Caenorhabditis elegans: one gene and its partner. The protein of the gene in region 2 purifies or fractionates together with the protein of the main gene of each other region. This does not show direct contact. Each region holds a gene or a part of one and is shown on either strand. Other genes may lie near its edges. The genes, in order: cey-2 and car-1.

Evidence for each region.
Region 1: the proteins of car-1 (region 2) and cey-2 purify together in Caenorhabditis elegans (affinity purification with mass spectrometry, with the first as the bait; 2 studies listed by BioGRID). This does not show direct contact.

The regions. Positions count from the first base shown.
Region 1 is NC_003279.8:5,617,679-5,621,408, reverse strand, and holds cey-2 (CSD domain-containing protein), read right to left. Parts: upstream 1,841-3,730; 5' UTR 1,808-1,840; coding exon 1,685-1,807; intron 1,642-1,684; coding exon 1,331-1,641; intron 1,284-1,330; coding exon 914-1,283; 3' UTR 741-913; downstream 1-740. Other genes in the region: F46F11.7 (Tenascin), read right to left, coding at 136-227, 293-363, 406-511, 560-621; xrep-4 (F-box domain-containing protein), read left to right, coding at 2,996-3,026, 3,077-3,147, 3,219-3,323, 3,372-3,451, 3,517-3,613, 3,697-3,730.
Region 2 is NC_003279.8:12,902,801-12,906,840, reverse strand, and holds car-1 (Protein LSM14 homolog car-1), read right to left. Parts: upstream 2,372-4,040; 5' UTR 2,366-2,371; coding exon 2,120-2,365; intron 2,070-2,119; coding exon 1,880-2,069; intron 1,828-1,879; coding exon 1,384-1,827; intron 1,337-1,383; coding exon 1,194-1,336; 3' UTR 801-1,193; downstream 1-800. Other genes in the region: coa-5 (Cytochrome c oxidase assembly factor 5), read left to right, coding at 3,392-3,682. UniProt on the Caenorhabditis elegans protein: Transcriptional regulator. Involved in modulating embryonic expression of ATP-dependent chaperone cdc-48.1. May play a role in mRNA gene silencing, and RNA granule (P-body) assembly.

The DNA of each region.
Region 1 (3,730 bases), 7.3 Mb from region 2:
AAGCATTACTGTAGTTTTCGCTACGAGATATTTTGCGCGTCAAATATGTTGCGCAATACGCATTCTCAGAATTTCGTGTTCCTGTAATATGTACGAGAAAACTAGTTTTTAAAACTAATTTATAAAAATACCCACTATTCAAAATGCACTGCCCGTTGACGCATTTTCCATGTTTTCCACAATCGGAGACTATGCTTCGAGCTGAACCTTCAGCTACCAATACGTGTCTGAAAATTGTGTTTTATTTGCTCTGACAAGTTGTTATCATTCCTTATTCAGAAATTAACTGTACCGATTGCATTTCACTGAAGTGATTGGATAACATTTTCCTTCAGAACAAACGAATCCCTCTCGACATTCTACCTAAACTAAACGTTTTGAAAATATTCATCAAAACTTGAAAACCTCGAATGAACAGAATGTAGATGGGGATTTGTTCCTACCAAAGCATTGCTTCTCTTCACAAGTAAATCCAACTGGGCACTCATACTCACCGAAAACAGGCGGACATCTGAATAGACGAAATTGTATTTCTCACTATTGCTCATGATTCGTTCACCTTTCTGCCGCAATGTGCAAAATAAAAGAACAGAATAAAAACAGTCGTCCTATGCGAATCATTGTACGAAACTAATCAATATGCCGAATAAGAATTGGTGACCTATTTTCATCAGAGATATCTCACTGATAAGATTTGAGAAGCTGATATGATGAGTCATTGTTATGAAATAAACATTCAATTTACCGGTAAACGGTTTTATTGAGAGGTTTTCTCATTACAAGCTGAGGCAATGTGGCATTGAAGAACAAGAGGGATAGGGACTTACAATAGCATGCATAAATTGGGAATATGATAAAGTGTACTATGTATATGTACAAAGGTACAAATTTGAGAAATAAGCATTAATGGATCTTAAATCTGAGCATCGATTGGCTGGGCTCCTAGGCCGGCTTCTCCAAGTGCAGAGTCGCAACGGTCAACCTTGGAAAGTCCAGCTTCCTCTGTGATGATCTTGGAACAAGATTTGGAGTCTGGAGAAGCAACGTCAGAAGCAGATTCGGAAGATTCAGTGACAGCCGATGAATCAGCGGCATCACCAGCTCCTTTCTGTTGGGCCTTCGACTTGCGATTTCTGTTCTTGCGTTGCTTTCTTGGCTTTTTCTTCTCAGCATCCGCCGACATCTCCTGTGGCTTGGCATCGGTCGACTGGGATTCCTCTCCATCGACAGAAGCTCTGGGCTTGCGGTTCTTGCGGAAGCGAGAGAGAAGCTTGTGGCGGTATCTGTAAAATAGGATTTAAAAACTTCCATGGTCAATATAAACCCTCACCTCGATCCAATGACATTGTCTCCGTTGGGTCCTGTTACGTTAGCAGCTTCTGGGCCATTCTTTCCCTCGACGAGATCGAAGAGAACCTCTTCATCGTCCCCGAGGGTACGGAGGTAGAACTTTTCAGTGGCTGACTTGGCAATGGCTGTCTGGTGAACAAAGATGTCCTTTTCGCCATCGTTGCGAGAAATGAAGCCATAGCGACGGAGAACAGAATACCATTTCACTTTTCCTTGAAGTCCGGTGGTAATGGCTGTCTTCGACTTCTGCTCTTCTTCCCACAGACGGATGCGCTCAGCAGTCGGCAGACGCTAAATTAAGTAATTACTAAATTAATTTAAATGTGTAACATACTCTTTTACGCATCTTCTCTTCGCTGTTGCTTGGCGTTGTCTTATCTTGAACAGAGAGCTCTTCGAGCTTCTGCTCGAGAGCTTCCTCTCCGATTTCGACAGCGGCGTTTGCGGTGTCCGACATAGTCGTAAATTTGGTTGAAGCAAGTGAGGTTGACTGTAAGAGGGTAACTTTTAATAAGTCATTAAACAAAAATTGGGTAAAGATTAAAAAGAATATTTAACAGAAGCTATGTGCTCATGCTCAAAAACGTAACCAAAACTAAAGTCGAAAATCAGCAGCAAAAAAATTTAGAAATGAGAAAAACAGCTCACGGCGCGTGAACTTCAAGCTGCAAAATCGAAATGAATGTTTTGGGCCGCGCATCTGCGAAGCTAATGGGTCCCGTACTACAGTAACCCGGTAACCTGCACATCTAACTTCGCGCGGTGTTTCAAACGCAATGCATGGTTAGGAAATTCCTAAACAATTTTTGGATTCTTTTCGTCAAATTTGTATCAGATTGTTTTGCAATATGCTATTTTACTATTTTCTATCATTTTGTCATCACTGTCTTGAATTTTTAAACGATTGTTTAACTGATTGATATGGATAGTATTGTTGGTATTAAATAGTTTATAATAATCACTGAAATTCTAAAATATTTCATTATTTAACATTCCCTCGTAAAGCGTATTATGATTTTTTGAAAGTTACGGAATTGAGATAGAAAAAATGGAATTAAGTTCTAAAGTTTAGATTTTCTCAATTGTTTTCCAGTTGTTTCCTATTGTGACACTCCTTAACTTTCCAATTTAAGGGAAATGTCTCTTTTTTATACATTAAGAGATTACTTTAAGAATATAAAAACGCTTTAGGCCCCGTGTGACAATCTAAATGTGTTTAATCCTGCCTCCAATTAGTACAACGAGTGTTCATTATAAATGTTCAAACGAATTCGGAATTTCTATTTCCAATTTTGTTTTTTTAATGGTGACTTTAGTTAATGTTCTCCGTGATGTTGTTCATGCTTTCTAAAAACTAATGTACTCTGCCCTTTCCAGAAATTGACGTCATAATACTCGCACAGTACTCTCAAAAAATTGATTTTCAAATCGTCCATTCTCTCCAACTTCATTTTCTATCCTCCACGTCTTTTCTGTGCATCCTCATTTTATATTGTGTTATTTTCATGTCTCTGATCGACCTGCGCCATTGATATTCTTTCTCAAACGGCCTCTCTTTACATCTCTGGGTCTCTTGCCTCTGGGCGTGAGGTTCCCGTTTTTTCTGCCGATTTTCTTCTCTTTCCGCTGTTCCATTCTACTCAAAATGGCACTGGAAGAAATAATGGATTTCGAGGGTTAGTTAATGCTTAATAATGAAGATAAATCTGAAATTGCCAAATTATAGAAGAAGAGGCTGGATGGAAGCACTTGCCACGAGAAATACGCAGAAATATTCTCACTCGACTACCATTCCCAGTAAGTGTTGCGAAATCATTTTGCTCAAATTTCCATCAAATCAGTTAGATAAAGAAAAAATCCGTTTGCAGGATAAACAAAACATGATGTTGGTCAGCTGGGAAAACTCTCAGATATGCTCAACTCTTCCAAATAAGCTTCACGAACTCGGAATTACGGAGCTTCCCTCTACAGCTGTTAGTTTTAATTGAATTACTTTGTTTATTCAACCCAGTTATTTTCAGAAAACTATTCTGATAATGAAATGGAAAAATGAGATTGGAAGAGTTGTGAGCAGAATGGTGGAGTTTCGAGGAACCTCACTGTGAGTATTCTTTGTTCAAAACTTCAAATTAAAAGAGAAAATTCAAAGTCTTAATAAATGTTCAGACGTCAAACTGAATGCCCCGATCATACTGCAGAAGCTATGCGAGCGTTTTTACGTATTTGGAGATTCTCAAAAATTAAGAGTATTGTCATCGAAATTGTAAGTTGTGGTAGAGATAGATTGGTTTAAACCATGGCTTATCAGCTGTAGTATCAGCTAACAAAAATTCAATTAATTTTCAGCCATGTTTCGAAGGATTATCAAGCATCTGGGAAG
Region 2 (4,040 bases):
AATTTGAAAATATCAAAATCCGTGATCAATGTGCTCCTGGAATACCGTCGACGTTTGGCTATTTATGGAATTATCATCGCTATGCCAAATTGGTTACTGTTGGAAAGGCTGTTGAAATCAAAAATGTAAGTTATTCCACCTACACTGCTTGTAACTAGTTCAAATAACTTTTCAGTGCCTCATGAAGTCCACAAATTTCAAAAAATGGGAATTCTGCATGGGTATGAGTTTGGACGCTGCGAGAGTTTTCGATCCGAATGCCTCTGGATTCGAAATTTCCCGAGATGGAGGAGTTAAGGGAACTATTCGCTGTCTCTTCAAAGGGCATAGCGTCAAAATCGACTTTAGCCCCTGGAAGTTCGAGATCACCAAGGAATAATTTTATTATGTATTTTCTCTTTTAATGTTTAATTTATTTCTTTAATGTGTTCACTTCAATCAGTTTCGCTGAATAGTTTTTATAAAGTAACATTTGTTAGCTATTCTTTACGTATTTAGTCGCCAGAACAACTATCGAACTTTTTGAAATTACAGCAAACTTATACCAATATTTTTTGACACCTTACATGTCCAACTGGCTTCCAAGTTGTAGAAAGAAAACATCGAAGCAATGATACAAAACAAAAAGTTTATACGGGGAAATCACAATTTCTCAGGGCTTGTCTACCTAAGAATGAAGGGTTTGCAATATTATAGCAAATCTAAGAGAAGATCTTAAAAACAATTTCATATCTCCTAGAAGACAATCATAAAAGGCGGGGTGTGGGATGATAGGAGAGCAGGTGCAAACGATTTGACAGTTTAGTCACTGCAATTTTATTAAAATGACAAACTGAGGACAACAGAACGACATGCTTTAAAATTCACAAGCTAGAACTTAAAAAAACGGGGGAAGGGTCCAATCACTATTGTAGTGGGGGAAGAAAAAACATTGGGAATTTTTTGGATGGGAGATGTGTGTCGGTGGGTGGGTGCGCAATAATTATTACAAAATAACAGAAGGCCCGCATTGAATCGTACGAGATTTCTAAATAATTAACGGGTTTCTTATAACACGCCAATAGTTGAGAAGAGACAAGGGTAATCATTGATGGGGGGGGGGGGAGAATGGATAAACTTACATAATAAATTAACAAACGGCTAATATCGGGGTATGGGGATGTGGGGAGAAAACAATTTCAGGGAATTCGAACTTATTGTTCGGCAGCTGCGGCAGTATTGCCTTGGTTGTCACGTGGAGCATATCCACCACGACGGTATCCACCGTTGTTCTGACGATAACCTCCATTGTATCCTCCACGGTGCTGGTGTTGATGCTGGTATCCGTTGTTGTAACCTGAAAATTGAGCATAAGACGTTGTAACTTCTAAAGTGGAACTATACCTCCATATCCGCGGTTTCCACCACGTCCTCGTCCTCCGAATCCACGACGGTAGTTCAACGAACGCACTGCGTTGTGTCCGAACGTCTCCTGATTCGTTTCTCTCTCCTTCTTCCAATCTGGCCGTCCAGTCTTTCCTTCGGCTTTCTCCAGTGATTCACAGCTGATGTTGTCAAAGAATGAAGTCTTCTTGTCGTAGAAGGCAGCATCCTTCTTCTCCTCAACTTCTGGCTCGGCCTTATCCTCAATGTTGAGCTTCTCAAGGTTGTCGACGAGAACTTCTTGGAACTTCTCATTGGCCTTCTCGAAGTCAAAGTCCGATTCGAACTTCAGCTTTTCGCGGTGATTAACTCGAGGAACTCCATAATTGTTGTGCCCTCTTTGGTTGTTGTATCCGCCAGCGAATCCTCCGCGGTAGTTGTTGTATCCACGGTTAGCTTGGAAGTCTGAAAACATGATCATAAATCCAGAGTTGATTTGAAAGAAAATAAAACTGACTTTGCTGATAACCTCCACGTCCTGGACGTTGATTTTGGATGATTTGGCCTAACGGACTGTTACGGGATGGCGTTCCGGCTCTGGAAGAACCTGCAGAGGCAGCTGGAGCTCCGTCACTTGCTGGGGCTGATCTCGAGGAGACAGAGATGATGGCTGGATCGTATGGAAGCCCTCCTCCAATGTTGGCCATCTGAAAAGACATTATTTAGATCAATGAAGCTCGATTATCCGGCAACTCGCCTTCGGAGTATCACAAACGATCAAATCCTTGATGTCGCTGGCCTTGAAGATGATGTACTCGTAGACATCATCACGAGCGGCGACCGGATTAGCAGTTGGACGCTTCTCGGTTCCGAACGAGCGAACCTTGGCCAACGCGATGGTAGAGTCGTTGGTGTCGACGGTGTAGAGGATTCCCTCGTAACGGATGTCGAGCTTGGAGATCAGACTAATCTTGCTTCCGATGTACGGTGTTTGATTCGACATTATTACCTGCAAAAATGTAATATAATTTAAGTTTCACAACGTTTGAAGAAAGACGAAGAGCAATATTGTCGGGAATAGGAGAATAAATTAACAACTGAAACCGTGTAAATGTGCGCTTCTATCAATCCTAAAACAAAATCTTGCGGAATACTACGAAAAATGTCGAAGCGATCTCAATTGTGTCGAGAAACCTTAGAAATTAACCTAATTGGCCTAAAATCGATACGGAGGTGTCAATAAGTCTTAGAGGAACATCAACGATAATATACAAGGATAACACTGACAGTTTAAAGCCCTAATTTCTTATAAGAAGTGGGAAAAGCTGCAAAAGTTTAAAAGTAAAATGCGAAGCCGTCATCGTTATCGATTCTGCGCCGATGGAGCGTGATTGCATCCGTCTGCCCACTTATTTTATGAGGTACTGCGCAGCCACGGCCGTACCATTGCAGTAAAAATAATTTTGAGTATTAAGAACCGAAAACTCACTAATTGAACTTCTCAAACAGCTAAAAATCGGCAGAAGAAATAAAAGGTAAGCTCAAACTTGAAAATCACAAAAAATGGGAAGTTTCTATCAAAATTCGCAAAATTTAATGATTCTAAGCTGTAACTTTAAGTTCATCACGTCAAAAATAATTATTTTAGCAATAAAACATTGAAAATTTCCCTAGAAAATCAAAAAAAATAACGAAAAATCAACAATTTTGCGAAGAAAACAACAAAAATCCTAAAATGGCGCTGCACCCCAATCCCATTTAAAGGCGCATGTTTTGCTATAGGTTTTTGTGGGTCTCGCCACGATTCTGCAAATCTTGGCACCGTGCCAACTCCGTAAATCGACACTAATTATTTTTCAAAATTTAAATGAAATAAAATCAATTTTTGTGCGAATTTATTGAATTTTCTCGTTTTTTTGTGATAAAATTGTGAAAAAGACTGAAATTTACTTAAATTTTATTGTTTAAAACTAGTTATATCTTCTAAAATCAATTTTTATTCGATTTTTCAGGCAAACTCCCGCGAAAAATGGCCGGAATCACCGCACACTCCCAATCCCAACAATTTGAAGAAGACGAATTCAACGAGATAAAGAAGACCGGTGTATCGTGTGATCGTCTACGTCAAGCACTCAAAAAATGCATCAAAAACTCGCATTGTGTGCAAGTTCAAGCTCGATCTGCGAAGGAATGCATCGATGCACGTGGCGACGGAAGTGTACCCGACAAATGTTTCGCCGTTCTCCAAAATTTCACCGACTGCAAGCGATCACTGGTGGACATGAGATCGAGATTCCGAGGAAGGAAGGGCGATCTTTGAGCGAATAATTCGAAAATTTTCATATTTTTTGTTACTTTCTTTTTAGGATTTCAGCTTTCTCTATAATATAATACGTGTATAAATCTATTTTCCAGGAAGAATGTGTTAAAAACTTGAGAATTATCATCGTATCGCTAAGCTGGGCCTGTGGATTCGGCTTTTGGGAATTTCCCGCAAAATATTGAACTTTTCGCCTAATTGGCTGCCATATGACTCCGGAACTCTCGACTTTTGTCAAAAAATTCGAAATTTTCGAATTTTCGCCCACTTGAATCCGAAATTTCGCACATTCTTCGCCATTTTCTTGCCAGTTGTTCTAAAAACTTCCAAAAAAGGAAGCAAAGAACCCAATCAAACG